4 linked regions of the Arabidopsis thaliana genome follow. The protein of the gene in region 1 interacts with the protein of each later gene in a pairwise test. Each region holds a gene or a part of one and is shown in the gene's direction. Other genes may lie near its edges.

Region 1 (5,105 bases):
TAGACTGACTCGTTGTCTCATATCAGTCCTCCAATTTTGCTGAATCATTCTTTTTAGTTTTTTACTACTGACCGAAACTGAACTTATCTAATTTCGTGACAGACAAATGAGTACATAATTAAAATTTAAGATTAGGCCCAATAATCTGCATTCAGCATTATTCTGAAGATGTCTCTACTGTAGTGGTTACGGTTTTTACATGAAGCCTGCTATATATATACTTTATCAAATATTTCAGAGCTCAAGCAGAGAGCTTCCTTCTCTGGCAAGCACGAAAAGGCCACCATCTCCTCTAGAAATCCTGAGATCCTTGTCGAGATAAGTGGTCAAGAGCCAAGAGCTGCCTCGGTTTCCTGGAAACGGAAGCTTGAGAGGTGGCTGACCAGAGAGTGCCCGTGAAATGTTTGCTGCCACATCTTGTAAGGGGTTCAAAGACTGCTTTAACAACGAAAGGCTAATCTGCTGCCCAAAGACGCCCACACTCTCTGGGAGATCTACACTTGATTTGATCACCGGGGGTTTTAGCGTGCCTTCTTTGAAAGAAACCTGACATTTACCAAACATTAAGACAACCAGATGGTGATACCAATACAAATTCAATCTACAAAGAAACCTTTTTAACATAGCTTTGTTTTAATGGTAAGGTTTGATTGACTGGAATGTAATCAAAAGTACAAACTGTTAATGCTTCAGTGACCTTAATACTCAAACTGGTGTTTGTAAGTTTAGTTACCTCAATTCTTGAAGGGCTTCGAACTTCAAATGAAGCAGTAGCACTGAAGGAGAAGTCTGCAAAAGGGCTGGAGAGTGTAGTGGAGTTGTCGATAATGAGATTGTTTGTGTCTATTGACTGACTTATGCTTTTAACTTTCAACAAAGGTGTCGAACCCGCAGCTAGTAGAGGAATCAACTCAGAGAAAGCAGTGTACCTATTTCATAACCCAAGAAAATACACAAAATTGGAACAACAGTAACAATTCCTGGATTATTATCATTCTTCATCAAAGATTTCACAATGTCTCATTCTCAATTCACAGTGTTGAAATTCTCAGCGACAACTAAAGGTTCCTACATCATCGAAACAAGATCATTTAACTTACAGCAAAACCCAGTTGCCGTCGAGAAGTTCTGGATTCTCTAACGGAGCCGGAGTAGGATTCAGAGCTTCCAGTTGATTCACAAGCTCCAAAACCTCCGCTCGGACTTCTGACCCAGCTTTGAAACCTAATTCAGTTCCGTACACCGAATCCGCCAAACACCTTTTCAGCTCCCAAGTCGGGTCAGACACCGCACTTCCATTTCCAGCGTCGGCTTCAGTTTCTCCTCCAATTTCTCCTCCCCACTCGTCTTCGTTCCTTGGAGGATCCGATTCCATAAACCGGGTCCCGGATTCCTCAAGTTCGGGTCCGGATTTCTCGCCCCATTCGTCCGTAATCACATTCACGGTCACATTATCTGGCTGAGAGTCGGGCTCATTTGCATCTCCAGGTTTCTCACCCCATTCATCTGTAACTGCAGACGCATCTAGGTCGGATTCCGATTCAGATTCCGAGGGCAGAGAAGATCGGATTTTAGAAAACCGGAGTGGCTTGGGACGATAACCAAAAGAGAAAGAGAGAGAGTTAAGTTTTAGGGAGATAGAAGGAGAGAAGGTCTTGCTTGGATTTATGGAGGAAACATAGAGGAGTGAAGAAGGACGAGCGACGGTGAAGAGCGTAGCCATGGCCGATCTTTGTGTTCGAGCTTGGTGAGAAAATTTCGGAAAACAAGATTACTCAAGTCTTAGAAAATCACACGAAATTTAGATGACCCCAGAAAAAACGCAATTTTAAAACTTCAAAAAAAAAAAAACTTTAAACTAATGGGCCTGACCCAGGCCCATTATAACGATTTGTATTCGTCTCTTTCCCTTATCCCCGTAGTGATACTTTGTCTGAGTGAGTGAGTTTGAAATCAATCATCAATGGCTGCTTTTGCTTCTGGTTTGGCTATAATCTTCAACTCTCCTTCACTAAACCCTGTCACAACTCAAGCGACCTTCCTTTCTTCGAATCGGATTCGTTCCTCTCCTCGCGTTTTCAGTGGATTTCACAGCCTCCGACGTCGCGGCTTCCGGCGATTCTCTCAAAATGTTATCCCCGACCGGTTTAATAGCTTCTCATGTAATTGCTTATCCGCCGTATCCACCAGCACTATCGATTACGAGGTGAATTTTCGTATTCACGTCTATACTAGTGTTGCTGGTCTATCAGTCTGAGTGATAAAATGGAGAATTGCGTATAAATGGCTGGTTCCAAGGTCTATGTATATATACCATGATCATGTAGTTGTTGTACATTAGTTAGATAAAAATTGAATCGTTTTCATATATGATGCAGTTCACGGATGGTGGCAAAGAGGTGGAATTAAGATTGAGGTTAAAGACAGGTGAGATACTTTCTCCAAAGGATATATCTGTTGACGCAGATGGAACATCGTTAGCCGTTAAAGAAAAGCGGAATGGATTGCTGATTACACTTCTAGAGACTAACCATCTCTTTGAGAAGATTATGCCCTCTGAAACAATATGGTTAGCTACGTGTAAATCTTGCATTATATGACTTGTTTTTGTGATGTGTGACATTTCCTTGAGGGCTGAAGTTTTGGTTTTGATCCAGAACAGGTACATAGACGAAGATCAGTTGGTTGTGAATATGAAGAAGGTGGATGGGGAATTGAAGTGGCCTGATATTGTCGAGTCCTGGGAGTCTTTGACTGCAGGAATGATGCAACTTCTTAAAGGTGCATCAATCTACATTGTTGGAGATTCAACTGAAATCAACCAAAAAGTGTCTCGAGAGCTAGCCGTTGGCCTTGGGTATGAATTCAGATTCTTCTCAGTGGGTGAATTCAGTTCCCGCCTTTCGTTCATGAGCTCAGTATGAATAGTATTTCAGAGTCTTATACACTTGTTATGATCTGCAGGTACAGTCCTTTAGATTCAAAGGAATTGCTGGAAAGCTTTTCCAAGCAAACAATCGATTCTTGTAAGTTTGCTTTTGGATCATGGTCATCATCTAACAAGAATCTTCCTCACTTCTCAGGACCCTTTTGTTTGTCTTCATTTTAGGGATTCTTGCAGAAGGGCCGGATTCTGTAGCTGAAGCAGAGAGTTCGGTATTGGAAAGCTTGAGCAGGTAAAAAGTCATGTCTAGTGTTCAATCTCTTTCCAGTTACCAAGATTAGCCACTGATCTCCATGTCTTTGCAGCCATGTGCGTACTGTTGTCTCAACTTTGGGAGGTAAACATGGAGCTGCGGGGAGAGCTGATCAGTGGAGACATCTTTACTCCGGATTTACCGTTTGGGTATCACAGACTGAAGCCACAGGTCAATTTCTCTCTACATCCACTTAAAATGAACCCTTCTGAACAGAAAACGAGAATCACTGCTTATACATTCAAGATTGGTTCTGAATGTAGATGAAGAGTCAGCTAAAGAAGAAGCGAGGAGAAGTAAGCAAGAGAGGGAGATTGGGTATTCAAACGCCGACGTTGTGGTGAAGCTCCAAGGTTGGGACCCGACGCATGCAAAGAGCGTGGCTCAGGCTTCCTTGAGTGCACTTAAGCAACTGATCATCTCAGACAAGGGACTTCCAGGTAATAAATAGAAGAAACCCATTTGTAAATTGATGCTTTAATCTGATAAATGTTTTGGAGATTAAATGCGTCTTTTATGATATTGAAGGTAAGAAGAGTTTGTACATACGCTTGGGATGCCGTGGCGATTGGCCCAATATAAAACCGCCGGGATGGGATCCATCGTCTGACACTGGACCTCATCCACAGTTTACATAAACAGTGTCAAGACATGCTTTTTGCTCTCTCCTACAAACGAATGCTCTTGAAGAAATTTTCTGTTATTGTTGTCATTGTCAATGGTATTTAATTGTTAAAGAAGTTGTATATTGGATAATTTGAGAATTGACTACCAATCTGAGTTTTAAATGGCACAAAGCGCACCATGGCTCAGAGAGTCCTTTAGTGCGCTATGTGCCATGGCTCACCAAAGCGCGCGCTTTTTAGATCTGTGGTGTTCTATTAACAGATTCTCTGCATATGGTTTTAGCCTTCAAGCTTATATCGTCTATGGTGTTCTATTTAGAAAAATTAGGGATTTTACATCTTCTAACTGGTTAAAATGTCGTGGGTTAAGAGGTAAGGGTCAAATCCGTTTTAGTTTAAGATAAACCTAGGATTGATTTGGTTTGATAAGCTAATTATAACTCATGGTTAAACTTTCTAGTCGTGGATTAGGTATTGACCAGCTAAATTGAATCATGTATTAACCAGCTAGGTTTAGAAAATGGTTTATCCTATTCCTCCTAGTCATTTCTTCGTGCAAACCCTAAAATCACAGAATTCTGTTGTTGGTTTCGAAGAGTTTTCGCCTGAACACAAGAGGCGATCGCTTTGCCACCTTGTGCATCGGCCAAGGCTCACGTATGGCGTGCGCATTATAGATGTCGCCTCGCCTCCACGTCTTGTTGCCCTATTCTTAGAGCATCGGTGCGCTATGCGCCATGGCACGCCATTAGCGCGCTTTTTAAAACTAAGGCTGTTGAATAACTTCCAGCTGATGAATTAAACCTCACAAAGAACCAAGGCTGTTGATCAATAAAAGACTCTTTGATTCCAAGTAAAGAAAAACAGGATAATGGAGACTAGTTTCACCAAAAGAGTAAATATAACAGTACTACTACTAAGTTTCTAAAGATCAAGTCACGTTTGTCGTAATCCAAACTATTAAGGTTTCACGACAGCAAAGAGAAGTCGACACATTAATCTAACCCAAACTCCTTTGAAGGCCTGTTATTGTAGATATCAGCAGATCATCATCTCCTACAATCATACTCAGCGTCTTATAAAATTCCTTTCTCGACACCTTCTTCTCCTGCAAGAGCACACCGATTATGTTAATACAATATGATAACCTTGACTATTGGTAAAAGACATGGTTTATATTATTTACCCTGAGTTCCTGGTAACCAGCAATTATCAAATCCATGTCTTTACGAGCAATTTTGCTCGAGATTGCTTTGAACAGCAGAGGGAAAGGCATTATAGG
Region 2 (6,938 bases), 2.8 Mb from region 1:
GTTTCATGTGAGAAATCTTCTAATTTTATTTCACGTTATTCGTTCTTGAACATCTCTGATTTTTGAATAGAACCTTGAAATTGTTATGTTTATTTGTTCTTCAAAGCTTGATATAATAACAATAGTCGCTGAACGCATCAGATCAGCCACTCAAAATGTTCGACTGTGAACCTTCTCTTGACTTGCAATCTAACGGCATTGAAGGCTTTGTTGTACTCATGGCTATTGCATTGAGAATGAGATAAATAAAGAACAACATTGAGACTCAGTGCAGACTGGAAGGAGCAAATTGATAGACCTCTAAATGAAGAGCTCAATGAGAAAGCTCCTGAGTTGGTGCTGAGCTGGATAGACAAGTGTTTTAATGTATAGAGTCGTAATCCAGTCTAAATACAAAGTAGCTGTGGGAAGTAGAAGGTTAAAGGTTGTTGTAAAGGGAACACATTCTACTTTCTCGGGACTTTTCTTTGGTCAATCAAGAATTGGTGCTTGTTTCTATCAGTAACTGAACAAAACCAGAGAGTATGAGTTTGATCTTTACCAAACGCAACAAGGCATACAAAGGCAAATCCATAGTAATGACAAAAGATATCTAAGAAATAATAAGATAAGTAATACATTTGCTTAACAACAAAGAACAATATAGTTCTTAGCCAAAAAACATAAAAAAACAATGAACAATATAGTTGAGAACAATGTGATAGACCAAAATCTTATGTATTCATTCATCAAAAGAGAACAGTTTATATTGGAATTCTAAACGTTTTGCCTACTATTGAAGGTTTCACAAGAAACAAAACAAACCAAAGACTAGAAAACAAAGTGTAATTCAATAGTCTACGTTAACATGACGTGTTTTCGCACCGAAGACAATAATATATAAACTGTGATGACAGAATATGGAGTCATGGACTATGTAAGGCTAAACTAGATTATGGAGTCATGGACGAATGAAGAGTTTTTAATTTCGTGAATTTCATAAATAATGTGAGCCTCGTAATACCACTAGTTGTAGACAGCGGTTCTTTGGTGGTCGATATTGCATGGATTATGCGGTCCACTCCACGATCTAATTATTACAACTATATACATATATTTATATATCATGCACTATATTTGTATTTTACAATCTTAAAACCATAACATATCAAAACACTTTGATTAGTAACTTTTGTAATTTTATAAGCTTCTTGTGATTTTTATGTGATAAAACATAAACGACACCAATTCGTTTTTTTTTGTTTTCATACATATTTTCTATAATATCTGTCAGGATCTAATAATTAATATACTGCTCTAAAAGTATATATCATATCAATTGTCTCCAAGTTTTGGTGAAACACCTCAAACTCAAGTTAATAAGACTATTTTGGTTGTATTCATGTTTTTTTTTTGGCTATGTTCCATTCTGCTTACTTCTTAAAACAATGTAGTGTCCAATAACAGCATAAACCTGATAAGAATAATAATTATGCGTGTAGAATTTTGGTGAAACACGTCAAACTTATTTAACAAAACATATATGTTTCATTTTTTTTTGGTTAATTTTTTCCCAATTTTTTTATTTTGAAATAAATTTTCGGATAGTGACATATAACCTTATGTAGTCTGTCAATTGTCATATTTTTCTATTTCCATCATCCTATATACTTTACCTTTGTTAAAACTCCTTAGATAAGAACTTCCAATATTTTCCTTACCTATATTTTAATTTCCAGTTTTATATATTTAGTACTTAAAAAATTCAAATGGAAAATATGTTTGACTCTAATTAGACACATATAATATATATTTCCAAATAGTAAATTACAAATTGAGAAACTCATGAACAATAGTGCATCCACGTCGTTATCCAAGTTGGATTTCTTTCTAAAACAAATAATTAGACCTTTAAAAAAAAATATAAATAGGTACTTGTTAAAAAGTAGGAGAGCCCACAAATAAGGCTTTGGCCGCTTCTGCTTGGACTCTCCAACAAAAATCAAACTCTTTAAAAAAACAAACAAATTGAAGAGCGATTATACGATCACGGAGAACTCAAGATCCGGTGACGAATCCAACTTCTTGTGACGGAGCTCAAGTCGAGAGAGAGAAGACTGTACTAGTAGTAGTAGCTGTGGATTTTTGTGTCATCATCGGAGATCGGAATCTTCTTCTTCTTCTTCTTCTTGGAGCTTCTAGAAGTGGAGAGAAGGGGGAAGATCAAGCGACGGATAGTGATAGGTTTTGCTGTATGTCAGTGGATTGTGTTGAAACTGATTTTGGTGGATTTGGAGAACTTGTGAACCCTATTCAATGGCCTCAGCTTCGAAAAAGACGTCGGCATGTCCTCACCACGGTGGCTCTCTTCCGCCTCCCAAACTCGTCTCCGCTGCTCCCGATACCGTTGCTGTATGGTCCGACGCTGACGATCAGCGAGCCTCTAAAGTTTCTTTGGAATCCGTTATCCGCCCTGTCGATTCGTTTCCTGATAATACTGCCAAGAAACCTGCCAACAAAGGTTTGATTTGATCGTTGATCGTCCTTCATTCTTCTGATGTTAGCTCGCGATTCGTTTGAATTACTTGACTTCTTGTTTACTGGAATTTGTTGATGATGGTTACTTTTTGTGAAATTGGTTCTTGTCTACTTGATGGCTTCTGATTGAGATCTAATTGTGATCACTATTGTGGTTTCTGTGAAGTTGATTTTCTGTTGTGATCACCAATGCAGGGATTTCTGTGATGCCAAGGACTGAAACCAAGCACCCATTGGATCCTCTTTCTGCTGCAGAAATATCAGTTGCTGTGGCGACTGTTCGCGCAGCTGGTGCCAATCCTGAGGTGCGCAAACTTACTTGATTCTTGACAAATGCAGAATGCTTGATAACATTGTCACTGAAACTGTTTTACTTTTTCTTTGGCAGGTTAGGGATGGCATGCGTTTCATTGAGGTGGCATCAGTGGAACCAGATAAACAAGTTGTGGCGCTCGCTGATGCTTACTTTTTCCCACCGTTCCAGCCATCACTACTTCCAAGAACTAAATCTGGACCTGTGATTCCGATGAAGCTCCCTCCAAGGCGAGCTAGACTTGTTGTTTACAACCAAAAGTCTAATGAGACAAGTGTATGGATTGTGGCATTGTCTGAAGTTCATGCTGTCACTCGGGGTGGACATCACAGGGGAAGAGTTGTTTCCTCACAAGTTATACCTGATGTTCAGCCACCCATGGTATGTTAAACTATGTTTTAAGGAATTGGATCTCTAAGTGACTTTTAGATGCTACCGTTGTTTGCCAGTCTCTAAGTTTAGATTCTTTTGATTTTAGGATGCGGCTGAATATGCTGAATGTGAAGCGATTGTCAAAGACTTCCCACCATTCATAGAGGCAATGAAGAGGAGAGGTATTGAAGACATGGATCTAGTGATGGTTGATCCCTGGTATGTTAACAACATCATCGTTTCTGTTGACAATTAAGGTGTACTTCTTCTCTGAGCCTACCTCTTAATGTATTGTGCAGGTGTGTGGGTTATCACAGTGAGGCTGACGCTCCTAGTCGTAGGCTTGCAAAGCCCCTTATATACTGTCGGACTGATAGTGATTCCCCTATGGAAAATGGATATGCTCGTCCAGTTGAGGGCATTTATGTACTTGTAGACATGCAAAACATGGTGGTGATTGAATTTGAAGACCGTAAGTTTGTGCCACTCCCCCCACCTGACCCTTTGAGGAATTATACCCCAGGTGAAAGTAGAGGGGGTGTTGATAGAAGTGATGTTAAGCCTCTCCAGATTATTCAGCCTGAAGGTCCAAGTTTTCGTGTAAGGGGTTACTTTGTCGAGTGGCAGAAGGTAGATTTCCAGTAATAGCCTACTTGAAACCAAGTGATTATGCTTAAGCTTATTTCTAAATTGGCTCAACATTTTGTTTACAGTGGAACTTTCGTATTGGATTCACTCCAAGGGAAGGTTTAGTCATACATTCGGTAGCATATGTTGATGGCAGTCGAGGTCGAAGGCCTGTTGCACACAGGCTAAGTTTTGTGGAAATGGTTGTGCCTTATGGCGATCCTAATGAGCCACATTACAGGAAAAATGCTTTTGATGCAGGGGAGGATGGTCTCGGGAAAAACGCACATTCGCTTAAGAAGGTTTGACATCAGTTTTTTTTTTGGTGTTCTTACCACTCAGATCTCAGTTTGTGTTTAACAATCGGTTTTTATAGGGGTGTGACTGTCTGGGATCTATCAAGTACTTCGATGCCCATTTCACAAATTTCACTGGAGGAGTTGAAACAATTGAGAACTGTGTTTGCTTGCATGAAGAAGATCATGGGATTTTGTGGAAACATCAGGACTGGAGAACAGGATTAGCCGAAGTGCGAAGATCTAGGAGACTAACTGTCTCTTTTCTATGTACTGTTGCCAACTACGAGTATGGGTTTTACTGGCACTTCTACCAGGTTAGTGGAATACGTGATTCTTCATTTCTTGAGTAAAGCAGATATTAGTCATATTTGCATCTAATTTCTATAGGGAAGACAAATGATGTGTCTCCGCATGAGAATAAATCCTGAGTTTAGTGGCACTTTGCTTGTGATTTTTCACTTGAGGACATTGATTTACAGTGCTGAATCCGAGTTTCATTTGTTTTCTGATTTGTAGTTTCATCTTTCTAGATATTTGAAGACCAATATCATTTTATGTCTTGAATGTCTTACTGTAGGATGGGAAAATCGAAGCTGAAGTAAAACTTACTGGTATCCTCAGTTTAGGAGCTCTGCAGCCAGGTGAAACTCGAAAGTACGGTACTACTATTGCTCCTGGGTTGTATGCACCAGTCCATCAACATTTCTTTATCGCTCGCATGGATATGTCTGTTGACTGTAAACCTGCTGAAGCTTTTAATCAGGTACCTTTTTATGATGCTGCTCTTCTTCTTGTTATTTACTTACATATGCGGATTATTTTCTCAGTATTTAGGAATGGCATTGGTAGCATATGAATTTTAGAAGTCCCTATAGTTCTTGAAAAAAAATCTTAGATACATGTTGTCAGCTGGTTTTGCTCAATAGTCAGCTTAATCCACTTTTATCTGTAGGTAGTTGAGGTAAATGTTAGAGTTGACGAGCGAGGTGAGAACAATGTCCACAACAATGCGTTTTATGCGGAAGAGAAGTTACTTAAATCTGAGGCAGTGGCGATGCGTGACTGTGACCCTCTTTCTGCTCGCCATTGGATTGTAAGCAAAAACCGTACCTTGCATGTTCTCGTCCATTTATTGCATGTTTAACTTTCACATTGTCAGTGCTCGTACCCGTCTCTGTAATATCCTTGTTTATATTTCTTTCATCCTTGACTATCTACTAGTCTCATCCTTGAGACTGGATTTGGGATAAGAGATCACCTGAGCATCCCTAAGTTTCAGTCATGTGTTTATATAGTCTCATACTTGAGTTCCTTTACCAAAAAATCATCTCAGAGTTTCATTGAATATGATTTGTAGCTGAAGTATAGATGGTATACTCACGCAAGATGTATATTCAACACAAATCATTGTAATGTGTTATCAGGTAAGGAACACAAGGACTGTAAACAGGACGGGCCAATTAACGGGATACAAACTTGTTCCGGGTTCAAATTGTTTGCCATTAGCTCGACCCGAGGCGAAGTTTCTAAGAAGAGCCGCTTTCCTGAAGCATAATCTCTGGGTTACCCGTTACGCCCCAGACGAGAAGTTTCCTGGAGGAGAATTCCCAAACCAAAACCCACGGGCTGGTGAAGGTCTTGCCACATGGGTGAAACAGAATCGCTCCTTGGAAGAATCTGACGTCGTTCTTTGGTCTGTATCCTTGTTTTACTTATCTGATTCAGTTAAAAACTACTACTTACCAAATTATGTGACTTTCAATGTGGAATTTTCATTTGTCACCAGGTACGTGTTTGGGATCACACATGTTCCTAGACTTGAAGATTGGCCGGTTATGCCCGTCGAACATATTGGTTTCACACTAATGGTAAGTTAAATCTTTGACTGTAACTTTCAATGGAAAAAAAACCTTACAAAGGATTGGTTAAAAAATGTTTTGGGTTTTGGGTAAAATACAGCCACATGGATTTTTCAACTGCTCACCGGCAGTAGATGTGCCACCGAATCCATGCGAATTGGAGACTAAGGAGAGTGAAGTCAAAGAGGTTGTAGCACCGAAAGCTCTTCAGACTGGTTTACTTTCAAAGCTTTGAAGAATATGAATATCATTTGTTTTCTTTCTTTGATCTCTTAAAAAATTGGAGGCGTTGCTGTTGGTTAAGAACAATTTCATATTTGAATCTTTTATTTTCGTGTTTGGTGTGTGTGTTTGCAAGACTAAAAAGACCTTTGTCATTGGAATATTTCTATTAAAATTTCATATTTGAATCTTTTATTTTCGTGTTTGGTGTGTGTGTTCTTCTATGAATTGCATTAGTTTCATACTTTGGAAAAGAGAAGCAAATAAATATAAACATTGGAAGAGAGGAGCAACATCTCTACTATTTTCATTTTATAAGCCAATCAGAGCGCTCCATGTCATACCCCATTCTCACCTTTTACGTGATTTCACACCCACTCTCACTAATCGCGTGTTGAGGGCGTGTCTACGTTTTCTGAGGGTTCTAACCCACCAAATGGCTTGTTTTGAAACACACTCGCTCTTTTTTAAAAAAGCCTCGAGTGCGTGATTTCAGTGTTTTTCTCCTTTAATTCCAATTCAAACCCAACCGAAATCAATTGAATTTTTCAAAACCATGTAAATCGAACCGAAATTAAAAACACAAACGACAAACTAGCAATTGTCACTTCCACAATTGATCCAACTCCGACGAACCAGATTGATAATTTTGATTCGATTCCACACAGATAACATATAGTCCAAACCAAATGCAATTCATATAGCCTAAAAATCTTAGCTAAAACCCAA
Region 3 (6,032 bases), 870 kb from region 1:
ACAGTTTACATGTGTATTTGTTATTAAAAAAAGATAATATAAAAGAATAAGATATGGGAATGTTTACCCTAAAATCATATATAAGAGATTCAATTATCTTTTTATCTCATTTAATTTTGAGTCAGGAAAAAATATATATACAGAGAAGAAACAAAATTATTAAAAATGTAAAATTTATTGGTTAACATTTTGTCTTTACAAAAAACATAGATATGTTAATATAACGAATATAGTAAATGATAGAATAAAGATATTTAGTATGGTTAAGTAAGAAAATTAACATTTTCAATAATTTCGTCTCTTCTTTGCATAGGATTTGTTTGCCAACTCAAAGTATATTAGATAAAAAGATAAGATTGAAAACTAAAGTTGATAAGATATTATATTGTTTCACAAAAATTAGACATTGGATAGATGTTTAAGATTAAATAATCTTGTTAGAAATAAAACTGAAGTCTATGATGTTGCATGTAAGAGCTAATACAGTAAAATAAAATTATAAATTAATAACATGGGGAATAAAATATTTTATTGATTTATATAAGTGTTAATTTTTAGATGTAGTAAAAATATTGAAAATGACTTTTTCACAAAAATTAAAACAAATTCAAAGAAAAACAAATAACATTTTTATCCAATTACGTTATATATTATATTCGTCCAACTTTGAACCGGAAAAGTTTATTAATTTACAATGATTATTAAATTGACAAGTATTAATATATAGATGTTTCACTCTAATAGGTTAAATGGACAACTATATGCGAAAATATTAGGGCGATATTACAATAATCACAATGTAAAGATAGACAAGCACAATGTAAAGCTGATCACGTACAGTTTTGTTTCTTCCTCTTCAATGTTAATCTCTCCATTCAGTTAGAGTTAATTTCTAGTCTGATACATAACAAAACTACAAAGTTTCTCGAGTTTTTTTGTTATTTGATAACTCTCTACACGATCTAATTTCAATATTACATGTCGGAAAACTTCCGGAAAGTACCACACAAATGTTTGTAAGATTGAGTAAAATTGAGTAAAGAGAGCTTTAATCTCCCATATTTGCAAGTCGATATAAATTTGGTATCACGGCGTGTAAGAGATCTTGACATGCTAACCTTACGCAGATGTGCATTGTTGCAGTGCCATATTGTCATTATTGGTAATATATATGCCTAAGTAAAGTTCATATTGATAAAAATTTTATTCAAACACTATTGCATCTGCTTGTCAATCGCATAATAACATTATTAATTGAAAATGTAGTTTTCACTATTATACAATATCCGTTCTTATTTCGTTTAAACCGGCCGAGCCCATAGTATTGCAAACTATCACACCATATGGGCTTTAACTTTACGTTGGTAAAACGTAAAAAGAAAATAGCGATCAAGTCTCAAGAAGGGTACTTTTAGAATTAATAGCAACTTTAAGGCGTAAATAGAAGTAATACAAATAGTTGGGGTTATTATGTAAATATGAAGAAGATTAAGATCCAGAAGATGGAAATGAAAAACACGGCACGCATTTCAAAGCCCAAAACGGGCGGGGGCAAACGTCACGCCTAATCTTATCTTCTTCTATCACACTCTCAGCTTATCTATGACTATGACTCTCATCATCAATTATTTCACACTATTAACAATCACCAAACCAGTGTGAACATTTTAATTCATAATTAGAGTAAGGTCATTAGGCTAAAAACTGTTTGATTTGGATTTTACAACTATAGGATAAGAACTTGTATCGCTGTCACAGATGATATTTTTTGGTCGTTTAAGCAAAGAAATATTACGAAAAAGAGATATTTTTTATTCTTACTTATTTTGGGATTATCATTTACCCGGAACGGGCAAAGCGGTGAGTCATCTTACCTTATAAATGATCACAAACCCGAGGACTGTGAGTTTTCGTGTAGAACAAATCCTTCTCTGAGAAAAAACAACAGATCCGAATTTTATCTTTAATCAGCCGGAAAAAATGGAGAAAGCGATCGAGAGACAACGCGTTCTTCTTGAGCATCTCCGACCTTCTTCTTCTTCTTCGCACAATTACGAGGCTTCTCTATCTGTAAGCATTCTATCACCACACACTCTCTCTCTCTCGATCTATCGCGATCTTTTGGTTGTCTTCTCTTGTGTTTGCAGTCTGGGGATTATGGATCGTTGTTGATCTGGATTCATTATATGGAATTTTCGATTTTGATTTTGATGCTGAATTATAATTTGATTCGAGGCGTGCCTGTGAGCTGAAAATTTTAAGTTTCAGCTCGATTGAGATCAAATTCAAGACTTGGATTTTGTTTTTGTATTTCGTTCACTGGATTGAGATAGATATCTTTTTTTTTTTTGTTGTTGTTTGATTTTTGTTCGATTGGGTTGAATTATCCGTGCTCTGCATGTACTGATGATTTCTTAAAAGTCAAAGCTTGATTTCAATTACTACGTGTGATCTCTTTAACGTGTTCTTTCCAAATTCCCAGGCTTCTGCTTGCTTGGCTGGGGACAGTGCTGCATATCAGAGGACCTCTCTCTATGGAGATGATGTTGTCATTGTCGCGTAAGTCCCATCTCTTATGCTTTTACTCTTTTGGTATTTGGTTTTTCAGCAACGTATGAAGATTTCTCGTCTCTTTCTGATAGACTTACACTTATTGATCCATTGCAGGGCACATAGGACTCCACTATGCAAGTCCAAACGTGGCAATTTCAAGGATACATATCCCGATGATTTGCTCGCACCTGTTTTGAGGGTCTGTCGCTATCTTTTCTATTCTGTTGTTGGTTTTTATTTCCTTTCTACGTCTATTTATAGATAGTTCTTCCTTGACATAGGCATTGATAGAGAAGACGAATCTAAACCCAAGTGAAGTAGGTGACATTGTTGTGGGTACTGTTTTGGCACCTGGATCTCAGAGAGCCAGTGAATGCAGGATGGCTGCGTTCTATGCTGGTTTCCCTGGTATGTTTCTTCTATGTACAGTACAATACAATGGTGAAAAGTCTTTGTTTTTATTTCCTGTATGCTCATCCTGTTATGTTCATTTGCAGAAACCGTGGCTGTCAGAACTGTGAATAGACAGTGCTCATCTGGGCTTCAGGCTGTTGCTGATGTAGCCGCTGCCATTAAAGCGGGATTTTATGACATTGGTTAGTGAATAACCGTCTTTAACTACGCCACATTTTTTCATAGAGAACCGAGCTGACGATATGATGGATGCAGGTATCGGGGCTGGTTTGGAGTCCATGACTACCAATCCAATGGCATGGGAAGGGTCAGTCAACCCAGCGGTACTGATTCTCTCTTATCTGGAGTCTTACTTGGCTCTGTTATTTTAATACGTACTATAATACGGACTATGTTATTTCAGGTGAAGAAGTTTGCACAAGCGCAGAATTGTCTTCTTCCTATGGGTGTTACGTCAGAAAATGTAGCACAACGCTTTGGTGTCTCAAGGCAGGAGCAAGATCAAGCTGCTGTAAGGGAACTGAACTTTTTCAGTATGGTTGTATTTTAAATAACCTATAACTTTGATCGCTATGCTAAGCTATGGAGTCATATTGCTAGGTTGACTCGCACAGAAAGGCAGCTGCTGCTACTGCTGCTGGTAAATTCAAGGATGAGATCATTCCTGTTAAGACCAAGGTATTTTTCAGATCCTTCATACAATAACTGTAACATTTAAGACTTCTCTTGGTGGATTAGTTACTGAACTTCATTCATGTTCTAGTATTAGTCAATAACGTGTGTTTTAAATTTCAGCTTGTTGACCCGAAGACTGGTGATGAGAAACCCATTACAGTTTCTGTTGATGATGGTATCCGACCAACCACAACTCTTGCTTCTCTTGGGAAGCTGAAGCCAGTGTTTAAGAAGGATGGCACCACTACTGCTGGTACTTTTCCCGAATCAATTGTTTCATTATGGAAACCACAGTTCTTATTATCACAATTTTAAATCCATTGCTTCATTTGTTCTGTCGCAAACAGGAAATTCCAGCCAAGTAAGTGATGGTGCAGGAGCGGTTCTCCTAATGAAGAGAAGTGTTGCAATGCAAAAAGGACTTCCCGTTCTTGGTGTATTCAGGTGGGTAATAATTACTTACAAAGCTACGACTGTGGAAGTCTGAAAACCGAAAAAACTGCAGAGGCTTGTGATTTCCATTTACACAGATATGCTAGTATACGTGGAAAATACATTGTTCTTTCTGTATTTGGCTTTTTCTAAGTAGCACACTATTGGACATATTGCAGGACATTTGCTGCAGTTGGTGTTGACCCTGCAATCATGGGTATCGGTCCAGCAGTTGCCATTCCTGCTGCAGTTAAGGCGGCTGGTTTAGAACTTGATGACATCGACTTGTTTGAGATCAATGAGGTATATAGCAAACAATTTCATGATCTTCTTATCACATATCTCTTCCCGCACATTCTGATGATGACCATCTGTTTGAATCCTTGTGTGTTCAGGCATTTGCATCTCAGTTTGTTTATTGCCGTAACAAATTGGGACTTGACCCAGAGAAAATCAATGTCAACGGAGGTGCAATGGCCATAGGCCATCCTTTGGGCGCTACAGGTATATCTGTTAAGAACAGGACTAAAACTGTTAAGCTTGTTCCAATTTACCAAACCATAGAGACTTGAATTAATGAGAATCTCTCAACTCTCAACCAAACCTTAAGAAATCCACAGCCGAGATATATCTTTATAAACTCTGTCCTCACTAATGGTTCTTTAACCAACTTACAAGAGCTCTATCTTGCCGCAGTCCGTCCTTTTCAAAGCATATCAATGTCTACATTGTGTCTATATAATTATAAAACGCTCATGAACAGTTGCTAATACTTGTTAAAACTCTCACAGGAGCGCGTTGTGTTGCTACATTGTTGCACGAGATGAAACGCCGTGGTAAAGACTGCCGTTTTGGAGTAGTGTCAATGTGCATTGGTATGCTTCTCACTCGAATAATTCATTGTGAATTTGGTGTCTGAAATATGTGTCTGAGGGATGGTTTTACTGATTTGGTAAACTCTGGCAGGGACGGGGATGGGTGCAGCAGCTGTGTTTGAGAGAGGAGATGGAGTTGATGAGCTTCGCAACGCAAGGAAAGTTGAAGCGCAAGGTCTTTTGTCCAAGGACGCTCGCTAGAGAGGACCATGCACCAAAACCGTTTTTCACCTCACCTCTCTCTTTTCTGGTCTTCTTGTCACTTTCTTCAGATATTATTATAGTTTCGAATAAAGCACACAACCAATGTTTGCCTGAGTCTTGTGTTGTTCTTGACCAGGTCATGTGTTTAGTATTTTTTTTAAGTGAAGGGGGATAATCTTTAAATCTTTTATATGTAAGAATATTGTTCTTCTCGAATTTCATCAGTTGTTGCTTCTAGAAATTTTAGATTTTTTGGGTGGCAGCCATTTCTATATTTCGATGGATAAGTCAAACGTTCATAAAGTCAAGGGTTCTGCCTTTTGTTTGTGTTTCATGATTTTACCTTGAATTTCATTAACTAAAACAGTGTTAATAGTAACAGTTGGGGTGGTGGCGCAGTTGGCTAGCGCGTAGGTCTCATAGCTACTGAGTGATCCTGAGGTCGAGAGTTCGAGCCTCTCTCACCCCATAATTTTATTTTCTCATAGCTATTTATATAACGTTCCTTCTAGTATTTTTTTTTCTTTTCGTTATAGTATCTTGTCTTTGATACCGGAGACGTTATAACGGCAGTATAAGACGTTATAATCATGTTCCAATGCATCCCCTCAGTTTTGTGTTAAAAACGAGCCATCAATGTTATCATATATGGAAATCATTATTGAGGCTTTGACCAATTAATTATGCGAATTGACCGACTTTGATCACTATACAGAGCAAAACAAATCCACTGAATCATTTATTTGTGTAGGTTCATCTTTTTTGGGCACCGTATTCATTTCTTATTCCATGAATTTGACGGAGTAATTTTGATTTTCTTTTTCGAGTAAGAATCTGGTCAAATATTCGATGAACCTCTACAAAAAAAATTAACCTCTA
Region 4 (3,754 bases), on another chromosome or scaffold:
TTTGCAAAATTCATGTTCTTAAATCATCAGTCTAAACAAAAAAATTAGATTAGCCGAAGATTTCTTCTTCTACCCTTGATGATACTATTTGGGATGGGCTTGCTTAGATGTGCCGAATCCAATTCTCGTTTTTGGGTCTATCTATATTTGGGCTGGGCTTTATAAGAGGCGAAGCCCATGTCGAACAATCAATTTTTTTTTAATTTTATATTTCTTTTGGGAGTCTGTTCTGTCGTATTGATTAATAAAGTAAAAAATCTTAGCCACAAAATTAAATCATCTCCAAGACGTATCAATATCATCATCAATCCACCAATGAAAAGTTCTCTCTTTTTTTTTCCCACTCTTACTCTGTTCTCGCTACAGAATCTCCTGGGAAAAAAAAAAAAGAAACTTGATCCACCCGAATTCCCCAAATCTTCACAATTTCTGGAAACTCTCTCGATCGTGAAGCAGAAAAGTGAGGTTCCAAATGGGTTCTGTTTCGGGTCAAACCCGAATTACAACGATGAACCTCTCGCTCTCAACAGCAGAGAAGAACCCTAATTTCCGCTCGTCGCTTCTCAATTCTAAGGTAATTGTTATCACTTCGTCGAGCTTCACCAAAAAAATGACTCCTTTTGCTTGATTTCTTCTTCTCCTCTTTCGCTTGTGTTTAGAACGCAATTTCAGATACTTTAGGGGTCTCTTCCAAATGCAGTACATTCCTCAGGGGTCAATTTCAAAGAATACATTTTTCTTGGCTACAACACACTCGACCTTTGAGAAAACGAACAGGTACTTGATTTGCAAACCAGACCAATCTCTTTAGAACTTTAGTTGTGATTTAGATTCTTGTTATGTTTGGTTTAGTATTTGGTCACGTGAGCTGCGTCATGCCGTTAACGGAAGAGAATGTGGAGAGAGTGTTAGACGAAGTACGACCATCTCTAATGGCCGACGGAGGAAACGTGGCGTTGCACGAAATCGACGGACTTGTGGTGGTTTTAAAGCTACAAGGAGCTTGTGGTTCGTGTCCTAGCTCATCAATGACGTTGAAGATGGGAATCGAGAGTCGTCTTCGAGACAAGATTCCAGAGATCATGTCCGTTGAGCAGTTTCTTGAATCCGAGACAGGAGGTTTAGAGCTGAACGATGAGAACATTGAGAAGGTTTGGTTTTTTAAAGGTTTAGTTATTTTTGGTTTATTAGCCCCTTGGTTTTGAAATTGATCTGAATGGTCCTTTTTTGGTTTGTTGTCAATTTAGGTTCTCTCTGAGTTAAGGCCGTACCTATCCGGTACTGGAGGTGGGGGGCTTGAGTTAGTTGAGATTGATGGTTACGTGGTCAAGGTTCGACTCACTGGACCAGCTGCTGGAGTCATGACTGTTCGTGTCGCGTTGACTCAAAAACTGAGGGAAACAATTCCTTCTATAGGTGCAGTCCAGCTTCTAGAGTGACATTAACCTTTTTATTTTGTAACTTATATACAAGGCCTATTTTTGATTCAATATATTTTATTTCCAATTATATAATTAGTACAACTAATACAATAACCATTTCTGTTGAAGAAAAAGGAAAAGAAAAAAAAAGTATCCTATGTATGAAGGACATTTTCTCTAGTGATCCTTGTTTTTAGGTAACAGTTATAAAATATTCATGACTTGACTACACAAAGATAATCGAACTTAAAGAGTTATTTCCTTAAACCAATTATTCTCTAATTAAATATGCATTTATAGCGAGTTCTTGGTGAGCAAGGATACTAGAATCTCTATAATAAGTCGGACATAAGAAGATATGAGGAAACACAGACATAACATAGTTAAGAGTTTCAACAATGTCAAAGCTTATAATCAACCGAATATTCAAACCCTCTGTCTGCAAAAATTTCCTCGTACGTAAGCTTCTCTTGCTTTTTCTTTTTAACTTTAATTTTGTTCTTGTTGTCTCTGAATACTTGAACATAACTATGGCAGAGACACGCAAACGTTCGTCTGTTCTCATCTGCAACTCACACGAGTACTAAAGTGAATCAGCCCTTCTCGTCTAAACCAGCCTTCCCGTTTCTGTTGATTGACTACATCCTAAACAACCCAAACTCTTCCTCCGATGGTCGCGTAACAACAAACGTTTACGGTAATGAAAAGGAAGTCTTGATTAAGGACAAGGATCTTAAGGAGGAGGTCTGTGATGCGATGACTGTCGGGTTTTCTCGTGATGGGTTGCGAGTCGAGCTTTGTGGCAACCACGGCGATGTATGTTCTCCCACCATCTTTTACAAGCCTACTGACCCCGAAATAGAAGACTTGACCGTTGATCTACCTCCTCTACCGACGGGTTCACAAATCCAAAGCCTGGTCATGTCCTCTTTACCTAAACGAGACAAAAATTGGGTAGTTGTTGTCAAGTTATTGGGATCTCAGTTGAGTATGTGCAGGCCTTTTGGCAGCCGTAAATGGATCAACATCCAAACCAAGCCTCAGAATATAAACCCTTCATCGAGCATCATGTTTTCCAAGAAAGAGAAAAAGTTCTACGTTCCAACTCCCGGAGGCAACATCTTGTGCTATTTGGATCCTCACTCAGAGGACGACGACCTAATTGATTTCGTGGAATTGGAGTTTGACGATCTTCCAAAATCGGTGTTTCAAGAGTTGGCCGACGTGAGTACATGTTCTAGGACAGACCACCTTGTGGAGTCACCCACCGGCCAACTTTTCCTAGTCAAGTGGTATACTATCTAATTAAAGCTATATATAGCTTTTGTCTTCATAACATATATACCAAAATCTCTAATCCTTTGCTTGAGTATCATATTGGCGCGCTTTATCATGTCTTTGCAGGTATGGAGAGGATTTAGAGGACATTGACAACACCACACTGTATAATGTAACAAAAAAGTTCATGGTGTTTAAAGAGGGAGAGAAACCGAGTTGTGTCTACACTAAGAAGATGATCTATACAGAAGACATTGGAGATCTTTGCATTTTTGTTGGACATAGTGAGGCTTTCTGCGTCCCGGCTAGCTCGTCCCCTGGCCTCAAGCCTAACTGCATCTATTTTGTGGGCTATAACTTTGGTGTTTATGATCTCACCACCAAAACTTGCACTATGTTCCTCACAAAAGATGATAATCCATTAAGGAAATTGGAATTCCCTTACTGGCCTCCTCCGGCTTCCTTTCCAGTACTAGCTCCTAATTAATTATCTCTCTTGCACGTGTTTATGTTTCGCTAATGTTATCGCTGTCTTTGCTTTCCCATGATTTCATTTAAATCCAATGTTCTCTTTTAATCTATGTTCAATGAAATTTATATTAGTGCCTTAAAAGAAGGCGAATCTATCCTACCAAAAAAAAAAGAAGGCGAATCTAAACGAATTCGGTTAATTCATCATATTTCTCAATTAATATACGTAAGACACACTTTGGCACAAAACTTATATAATTATTTATTTCCTGAAACAAGTTATCCTCTAAATATGTATATTTAATGTCCTAAGGTGTAGTACCCTCGGTATTCACTAGACAGAGACGGGGAAGACGAAAGAGTCGCACGTCAAATCAAAATCACAACACATATTTTGAGTGTTGTTACATTATTTTGTGGTGGATCACTATGTGGAGTCACCCTCCGGTGAACAATTCCTCGTCAAGTGGTATATATACTATAGACATTGCTTTTGAATAAACAATTATACAAACTATTAGGTTAATTACTCAACATTTTAATTTGATTTAATGGCTCCTCACCAAACACAAGAAGAGAGGTGA

What was found.
Region 2: the proteins of SKL2 (region 1) and AT2G42490 interact in a two-hybrid assay, tested with the Arabidopsis thaliana proteins (one large-scale study listed by BioGRID).
Region 3: the proteins of SKL2 (region 1) and PKT3 interact in a two-hybrid assay, tested with the Arabidopsis thaliana proteins (one large-scale study listed by BioGRID).
Region 4: the proteins of SKL2 (region 1) and AT4G25920 interact in a two-hybrid assay, tested with the Arabidopsis thaliana proteins (one large-scale study listed by BioGRID).

The regions. Positions count from the first base shown.
Region 1 is NC_003071.7:14,912,075-14,917,179, forward strand, and holds SKL2 (shikimate kinase like 2), read left to right. Parts: upstream 1-1,862; 5' UTR 1,863-1,963; coding exon 1,964-2,206; intron 2,207-2,378; coding exon 2,379-2,569; intron 2,570-2,662; coding exon 2,663-2,857; intron 2,858-2,964; coding exon 2,965-3,026; intron 3,027-3,109; coding exon 3,110-3,176; intron 3,177-3,249; coding exon 3,250-3,368; intron 3,369-3,460; coding exon 3,461-3,637; intron 3,638-3,725; coding exon 3,726-3,835; 3' UTR 3,836-4,594; downstream 4,595-5,105. Other genes in the region: AT2G35490 (Plastid-lipid associated protein PAP / fibrillin family protein), read right to left, coding at 235-546, 734-929, 1,101-1,723; SRO1 (uncharacterized protein), read right to left, coding at 4,824-4,931, 5,010-5,105.
Region 2 is NC_003071.7:17,690,884-17,697,821, reverse strand, and holds AT2G42490 (Copper amine oxidase family protein), read left to right. Parts: upstream 1-1,798; 5' UTR 1,799-2,295; coding exon 2,296-2,500; intron 2,501-2,712; coding exon 2,713-2,822; intron 2,823-2,905; coding exon 2,906-3,211; intron 3,212-3,308; coding exon 3,309-3,421; intron 3,422-3,501; coding exon 3,502-3,832; intron 3,833-3,915; coding exon 3,916-4,131; intron 4,132-4,205; coding exon 4,206-4,442; intron 4,443-4,705; coding exon 4,706-4,891; intron 4,892-5,080; coding exon 5,081-5,221; intron 5,222-5,552; coding exon 5,553-5,821; intron 5,822-5,914; coding exon 5,915-5,996; intron 5,997-6,087; coding exon 6,088-6,222; 3' UTR 6,223-6,415; downstream 6,416-6,938.
Region 3 is NC_003071.7:14,046,932-14,052,963, reverse strand, and holds PKT3 (peroxisomal 3-ketoacyl-CoA thiolase 3), read left to right. Parts: upstream 1-1,563; 5' UTR 1,564-1,980; coding exon 1,981-2,070; intron 2,071-2,482; coding exon 2,483-2,559; intron 2,560-2,667; coding exon 2,668-2,752; intron 2,753-2,834; coding exon 2,835-2,961; intron 2,962-3,050; coding exon 3,051-3,149; intron 3,150-3,222; coding exon 3,223-3,290; intron 3,291-3,370; coding exon 3,371-3,478; intron 3,479-3,567; coding exon 3,568-3,645; intron 3,646-3,762; coding exon 3,763-3,895; intron 3,896-3,989; coding exon 3,990-4,086; intron 4,087-4,253; coding exon 4,254-4,377; intron 4,378-4,469; coding exon 4,470-4,578; intron 4,579-4,865; coding exon 4,866-4,949; intron 4,950-5,040; coding exon 5,041-5,150; 3' UTR 5,151-5,486; downstream 5,487-6,032. UniProt on the Arabidopsis thaliana protein: Involved in long chain fatty-acid beta-oxidation prior to gluconeogenesis during germination and subsequent seedling growth. Confers sensitivity to 2,4-dichlorophenoxybutiric acid (2,4-DB).
Region 4 is NC_003075.7:13,163,656-13,167,409, forward strand, and holds AT4G25920 (hypothetical protein (DUF295)), read left to right. Parts: upstream 1-1,819; coding exon 1,820-1,876; intron 1,877-1,958; coding exon 1,959-2,713; intron 2,714-2,825; coding exon 2,826-3,186; 3' UTR 3,187-3,217; downstream 3,218-3,754. Other genes in the region: NFU3 (NFU domain protein 3), read left to right, coding at 473-574, 660-777, 853-1,151, 1,248-1,439.